Linked DNA regions of Mus musculus. The protein of the gene in region 1 purifies or fractionates together with the protein of each later gene. This does not show direct contact. Links are inferred from orthologs where the notes say so. Each region holds a gene or a part of one and is shown on either strand. Other genes may lie near its edges.

Region 1 (4,177 bases):
TTATGTAATGGGCTTTGTTTCATTTTAAAACAAAGTCTATTGAAGGGAAAACAAACATCATATGTAAAGATAGCAGATGAGCAGCATCTACATAATTTGAAAACTTTAGAAATGTACACTCTTGGTTTTTTTTGAGACAGGGTTTCTCTGTGTAGCGTTGGTTGTCCTGGAACTCACTCTGTAGACCAGGCTTGCCTCGAACTCAGACATCCGCCTGCCTCTGCCTCCCAAGTGCTGGGATTAAAGGTGTGCGCTGCCCTTGCCACCACCACCCCCCAGTAGAAATGTAGACTCTTTGGTGTCCTTTTCTTCCATCTTCTAAAAGGTTTCATGTGGCTTATAGCTCAGTGGTTTGAGGAGCACTGTGGCTTAAAGTCACAGCAGAAGAAGAGGGTTTACAGATGAGGCTGACATCAACCTTGGTGGTGACAGGTCACTCTCTCTTACTCATCCAGAGTCAGGATGACCCAATTAATTGTACAGGTTTGTAGTTACACAAAAAGCTTTAGTTTCTTGTTAGGAATTAGATGTCTTAAATTTTAAAGTTCAATGTATCTCTGTTTATATAAGCTTACTAGTATTCAAAAGAAACAACATCTAAAACAACACATTGAATTTATATTCTCAGGAGAAAATGCTGAGAAGCTCCTCCAGTTCAAACGGTGGTTCTGGTCAATAGTAGAGAAAATGAGCATGACAGAACGGCAGGACCTGGTGAGTGAGAAGTCTCACAAAACTTGTAGAGTGAAATGCAAGGGGTCTGCTATGCTTTGTTGTTTGGTTTTGTTTGTTTTTTGGGTGTGTGTTTGTTTTCGGGGATGGGATGGTGGGTCTCTCTTGGAGAACAGTTTACGGATAAAGGTTCTGTGAAGTCTGCCACTTTGGTTGATCATTCATCCCACTCCTTCCCTCCTCTCTTCCATTTCTCCTGTATGTATTTTATCTGCATGTCTGTCTGTGTACCATATGTGTGTGGTGTCTTCAGAGGCCAGAAGAGGGTGTCAGATCACCTGGGCCTAGAGTTCGAGTTCTGAGTCATTGTTTGGGTCCTGGGAATGAAACCCAGAGCTTTTGGAGAAGCATCCATTCCCTGCTGACCCAGTCTCTAGCTCCATCTCAGTCTGGAATCTGTTTCCAGTAAGCCTTTTCTTCCCTGTTAACTGAGTGGATGAGTCCGGCTATGTTCCTGGTTCTTTTGGGGAGGGTTTGTTCCTTCTTTTTCCTCTGTACTGTTCTAAGATGATGTTTCTTACACAATTATGTCTTAGAAAATAACCCCAATTACTTAAGTTTCTGAGTTACTCCGTAAAGTTATTAGATTTATTTCAGTGCTTAGTTGTACAAAGTAAATACCATAGATTAAACTCTGTCCTAGAAGATTGGTATGTGAATGTATAGAAGGATAGATCTTTCAGAGTATTTTATATTTATAAAGTACGTATTTCCGTAAAGAAGCATTTTTTTTAATATTTTGTAATAAATAGAGTAACATTAGACACTTACTGGGTATCATTGGCACTATGTGTTGTCCAAAATAAATTTTTGCTAGCATTCCATATGTCATTGTATGAAATTTCGTCCATTGTAGATATTTCCCAATATTCAGTTATTGTTATAAAATTACTGTGTATCATAATTAGCATCTTATTACTTTGCTAGTAGATAAAATATAAAATGGCTTTTTAACTAGCCTGGGGTTGTTGGTTAAAAAAGAATTTCTCTTTTTTCCCAGTAAGTTACTCAGAGATCTTAGCTATAGTAAAGGCTCTTAGTGATAGCTTGACACAATAGCTTCCTGTCTCAGATGAGAAAACTCGGGCCTCAAGACAGTTACAACAAAAAACCCATAATGTGACACCCTTTTTTCTCCCTTAATCCTGACATTTTTTCTTAAATGTAGTTTATTGCATTATAATTGATATTGGTCTTTTAGTATAAGAAAATAATTTTGAAACTAAGGGAGATTTTGTTAGTTGTTTTGAGATTATAATTACATCATTTCTTCTCTTTCTCTCTCCAAAGCCTCCCTTGCTCTTTTTCAAATTCAGGGTCTGTTTCTCTGTGTCTCTGTCTCCGTCTTGCTCTGTGTGCCTCTGTGTGCTCATGTTTCTAAACACATAAGTAAAGCTTGCTCAGTTTGTATAATGTTATTTGGATGGATGTATGTTTTAAAGGCTGACCATTTGGTATTCGATAACCAACAGAGTGCTTTCTAGGAAAGTCTATTTCTCCTGCTCCCCAAATTCCTTAATTGTTGATAGTAATGTGTTTATGGTTGAAGCCTCCTGGGCTTTCTCCCCATCCATATTAACATGCCTGTTGTTGTCCTTAGCTTATATTTAGGCAGTTGTGTTAGTGAGGCTTTAGTTTTTAAATTGGGTTTTACACAGTGGGGTTGTTTATGTTGCTGGAATTCAAGGTGACTATTAACCTATTAAAACCAACATTGTAATTATATATCCTTGTTTAGGTTTACTTCTGGACATCTAGCCCATCATTGCCAGCCAGTGAAGAAGGTTTTCAGCCTATGCCCTCGATCACAATAAGACCACCAGATGACCAACATCTTCCTACTGCAAATACTTGTATTTCTCGACTTTATGTCCCACTCTATTCCTCTAAACAGATTCTCAAACAAAAATTACTACTCGCCATTAAGACCAAGAATTTTGGTTTTGTGTAGAGTATAAAAAGTGTGTATTGCTGTGTAATATTACTAGCTAATTTTGTAGATTTTTTTTCCCATTTGTCTATAAAAGTTTATGGAAGTTAATGCTGTCATAACCCCCACCCCACCCCACCCCCGGTGGTACCTTAAAGAGATTAAATGCAAACATTCCTTGCTGAGTTTGTAGCTTAAAGGCCTGAGAAGCACTGGCACCTTTTCTCTATGATGGTTTGCTAGTCGCCAACTTCTAGGTCTAACCCCAGCCAAAGATGACAGCAGAACAACATAATTTACACTGTGATTTATCTTTTTTGCTGAGGGGGAAAAATGTAAAATGTTCTGAAAATTCACTGCTGCCTTTGTGGAAAGTGTTTCAGCAAAGGTTCTTGTATAGAGGGAATAGGGAATTTCAAAATAAAAAATTAAGTATGTTCTGTGTTTTCATTTTAGCTTTTTTATGGTGTTATTTGTGGTTGGCTGCAATTGTGTATCATGTATATGGAACTTGTAAAAAGTTCTTGACATTCGGATTTTAGAGACAAAACCACTTTTACCTATAAAAACCTCACTTTTAGTGTGGGTTATTTCAGCTACATTGAGCTCTAGGATACTAAATACACTAATAGTTTGCATGTAATGTGTTCATTTGAGAGAGGCACTTTTCTGTACATAAAATGGGCCGACGCACAGTACCTTGCCACAGTCACCTTTTTTCTTTGTACCCCTCTTTCAGTGCAGGTGGATAGGTCACACTGCACTTGAGTGCTAACCAGATGTCTGTACTAAGGTTATGTGTACTCAGCCTGGGCACTTTCTGATAACTGTAAAATGTTTTATAAGATCATGAATACTGAAAATTTTAAATTTTGGAGAATTTTAAATGTTCTTGAGCAGCTTAACTACTTTTGTATCTAGCCTTTTTTTTTAAGTATCTTGTTACATTTTACTTTTTTAAATAAATTACAGAAGAAATGTCAAGTAACATTGAAGAAACAGTTTTTATTTATATAGTTGTACATTTTTTAAGCTAGGGGCAATGCACTGACATGGTTATATTCATACTTTTTTTTTAAGTTTATATACATGTGAACTATAAGAAAGTTAAGAAAATCAGTCCACATTTTACAGTTAGCAGAGAATCCTAAATGGCACTCAGCCAGGCCTTTTCGTTTTACAAGTAGAAGTGTGATTAGTCAGCACAGAAGTTTTGAGTCAACTCCATGACAGGCATCCATCCATCTATCTATCTATCTATCTATCTATCTATCTATCTATCTATCTATCTATCTATCTATCTATCTATCTATCTATTTTTAAAGATGCTCTGTGGTCTGGGACCAATACCCTTACATTTGTGGACTGAGAGTTTTATTCAGTCAGATAACAAGGAATTAAAAGTCCCTACTAGGATTTAAATTAGTTACTTAAATATTCAAAAACAATTAACGATACCTGTCTTTTCAGTGCCTGTTTAGGACTCCTGGCCTTTGATAGTTTTCATGTTTAAAG
Region 2 (3,650 bases), on another chromosome or scaffold:
CACACACACACACACACATACTGGATGAAATGAGGGGCTTAAACATGAAATACATGTAGCAGCTAAATCCACATATTAACACTTAATTTGAACAAACCCTCAAGTTCACATTTAAGCTTTTGTCTCTGCTATCATTGAAAACAAATAGCAAAGGCTTACTACAGCAGCTCTATTTCATCTTAGCCCAAGAGTTTTATGTCAGTCTTATTAGTGAGATTCTGTTTTTAAAAAAAACCCAAAATGTAATAAAAACAGAACAAAATAAAATGGCTGTTGTGTTTGTCTTTCTGGCCTCTTTTACATGTTAGAACTTCTTCAGCAGTGTTGGACTGCCATCTAAGATGGCGCATATGCAGTAATATACATCATATTTCTTTTAAGAGTTAATTTTTAATATTTCTTTTTATTTTATTTGAATTGGTGTCTTACCCGCATGAGTGTCTGTGTGAGGGTGTCAGATCTTAAGAGTTACAGAGAGTTTTGAGCTGCCATGTAGGCGCTGGGAATTGAACTCAGGGACTCTGGAAGTGCACTCAGTGCTCTTAATCACTGAGCCATCTCTCCAGTCGCCTAAAGTTAATTTTTTTTTAAATTACACTAATTTAAAAATTAGTAATTACACTAATGTGTGCTGTGGCACACAGGTGGCGGTCAGACCTGGATTTGTTCCACTCTGTCATTCTTTCTTATCACAAAAAGTTATGAGTGCTAAAAGTAATGTGTTCTAAGGCTGGACTGTAGCTCAGCTGTTAAGAGTGCTTGCCTTATGAGAGCCTAAGCTGCATCCTTACTCATCCCCCTGTAATCCTGGGCATTGTGGACTTGTCTGTCACCTCAGCATGCAGGAGGTAAACACGGGAGGATCTGAAGTGTAAGGAGACCTGTGGCCACACAGTAAATTCAAAACTATCCTGCACCAAGATTAAGACAGAAGGTTTTAGAAAGTAAGTTACTACAAGGTCTGTGCCTACAATCCCAGCACTTAAGCAGGCAGAGGCAGGAAAGTCGTAGCAAACTCAAAGCCAGCCAGAGGAAGAGTGTATCTCCAAAAAAAAGTTAAAAAATTTTTAGAAACACAATATCAGAGCCAAATTACAAAAAATGCATACATTTAGAAGAATCTCGTTTACATTACAAACATTAGTTTTCATTATGGTTTCTTTTACTGTATCAGTGTTTATACAGTGTGCTTGCGTGCATGCGTGCAGGTCCAAAATAACTCATAGGAGTTGGTTCTAGCCTTGTAGCATGGGTTCTGAGGGCGCACCTCAGGTTGTTCTGCCTAGCTGCTAGCCCTTGAATGTTGCTGTTATAAAAAGAACCTTTCCATTTGTACCCAGTCACAAAAGTAATAGCCTAAAGTTTAGGTTAACTAATACTTAGAAGTGTATTTATATACTGTAACACACACTGGAGAATTATGTTGGCTAGTTTTACGTCAAGTTAACACAGCCAGAGTCATTTGGGAAGAGGCAACTTCAACTGAGAAAAGGTCCTCACCAGAATGGCCTGTGGGCCATTTTCTTAAATGATGATTGATGGACTGTGGGTGGTGCCACCCCTGGACAAGCGGTGCTGGGGCATCTGGGCAAACAGGATGTGTGGGGGTTGGTCTGGTGCTGCTATTCAAATGCCAAATACTGGCCCCCAAGATCTTGTTGCCCCTGATGAACAGATCTTCATGGACAACAAATAATGCTATGTAAACCTTGCTAACCAAGTTATTCCTGATTGGTTAATAAAGATCCCTACAGCCCTGGCTGGGCAGAAGAAGGGGCAGAGAAAAGGTTCCCTGGGCTTGGGGTCTCCTGTAGAGACCAGGAGGAGAGTGAGAGAAGAAGAGGTCGCCATGGGGCAGCATGGATCATGAGCACATGCCCAGGAGGCCTGGCCTGATAAGCAGGAGCAGCCCAAAGGAAACACAGCCAGTAATATCTTTGGGATTCTGACTGGAAACAGACAAAATAGCTTGCATGGTTGTTATCTACCCAGCTCTAGTGTTGTAAAGCTTAGCATAAATCTAAAGGTCCCTGAAATGGAGTAGAAACCCCCCCAATAGATATTTAAGGGCAACAAAGGGGCATAGCTAACCTCCAGCATAATAATTACCACTGCAAGGATGAGCGAGCCAGTAAGCAGCCCTCCCCCACGCCCCTGCACCAGCTCCTGCTTCCATGCTCCTGTGTTGAACTCCTGCCCTTACTTCCCTGGATGACAGACTGATGTGGAAGCGCAAACTGAAATAAACCCCCTCCTTCTCAAGCTGCCTTTGGCCATGGTGTTTTGTCATGCAACAGAAACCTTAACTAAGACGAAATACTGTTTGTCTAGCTGGGCTTGGTGCTGTTTACCTGCCCCACAACTACCCAGGAGCTGGAGATAAAGCAATCACAAGTGCCAGGCCATTCTGAAACACAGCAAGAACAGATCTCAGAAAAAGCAAGGGACACTTTCCCAAAGTGCTCCAGCCAGACATCAAAAGCTCGTCCTCAGCACTGTTCTTCCGTTCAGTGGGGGAGCACTTGCCTCCCACGCATGGGGCCCTGGGTTCAAGCTCCAGCACTTTTTGCTAAGTAAAAAAGTGATGCATCAGAGAGCATCACAAATCCCAACTGTAAACTATGAAGAATCATCACTCAGGAAACAGTCGATATGACGACTATTTTATATGTAAAAAACCAACAGCTGTTAATTTAAAAAACAGTAATGCTGATAATCCTTCCAAATGATTCACTTACTATTTCTAACTGCCATGAGTTTCCATAACCTGAATTAGAATAATTACAGTCTAGGCCCCAGAATATACCGTAATCAGCATTGGTTATTACCCAAGAGGTGAGACCTTATAGTAACACACTAACACATGGTAGGTGCAGGTGTTGGAGACATAAAAAGCAGACAGACAGACAGACAGAGTCGGTTACCAATTCTAATGGTTGCTTTTCCCTTCCGGCTGCTTCCTAAGACAATTGTTTTCTTTCTCTGCTTAGCGGTTTTAGACGGTTCCTTTGATGATGGGGATGTAACCCACTGGTACTGGAAGAGACAGACAGGTGACCAGCTACACATGAACAGGACTCAACTGTAGCTGGACACAAGGAGGATATTTTACACTTAATAAAGCTTTGCGATTTTCAGTTCTCAAATCCCAAATCGAATAATAGACAATATTTTAAAAAACAGAAAAGACATCGGGCAGTGGTGGCGCACGCCTTTAATCCCAGCACTCGGGAGGCAGATTTCTGAGTTTGAGGTCAGCCTGGTCTACAAATCGAGTTCCAGGACAGCCAGGGCTACACAGAGAAACCCTGTCTTGAAAAACCAAAAAAAAAAAAAAAAAAAAAAAAGTCACCTGATTTTAGTTCAGATAGCAGAAAAATATCACCAATTTCACTAAAAGCAGAAGAAACGGTAACTAAAGGGAAATTCTGCCCACAAGGCTGACAGGAGCCATACCTCTGAGTCTGCACTCCTTCCGTTCTGGAGGACCTTTTTGATAACTGCTTTCATCATAGAATGATCTGAAGTAGAAGAAAAGTGAGACTGTTCAAGGTACACCCCAGGGACTGGCTGCCTGCTCACAAACAGAAGCCAGCTGACCACTGCTTTCCCATACAACTAAACAACATCTCTATTTCTGCTTCTGGATG

Evidence for each region.
Region 2: the proteins of Ubr5 (region 1) and Cep78 purify together in Homo sapiens (affinity purification with western blotting; 3 studies listed by BioGRID, with this or other methods). This does not show direct contact. The link is inferred for Mus musculus from reciprocal best matches to the Homo sapiens genes UBR5 and CEP78.

The regions. Positions count from the first base shown.
Region 1 is NC_000081.6:37,966,799-37,970,975, reverse strand, and holds the end of Ubr5 (E3 ubiquitin-protein ligase UBR5), read left to right. Parts: intron 1-628; coding exon 629-714; intron 715-2,470; coding exon 2,471-2,683; 3' UTR 2,684-3,648; downstream 3,649-4,177. UniProt on the Homo sapiens protein: E3 ubiquitin-protein ligase involved in different protein quality control pathways in the cytoplasm and nucleus. Mainly acts as a ubiquitin chain elongator that extends pre-ubiquitinated substrates.
Region 2 is NC_000085.6:15,971,432-15,975,081, forward strand, and holds part of Cep78 (centrosomal protein of 78 kDa), read right to left. Parts: intron 3,522-3,650; coding exon 3,457-3,521; intron 3,037-3,456; coding exon 2,925-3,036; intron 1-2,924. UniProt on the Homo sapiens protein: Centriole wall protein that localizes to mature centrioles and regulates centriole and cilia biogenesis. Involved in centrosome duplication: required for efficient PLK4 centrosomal localization and PLK4-induced overduplication of centrioles.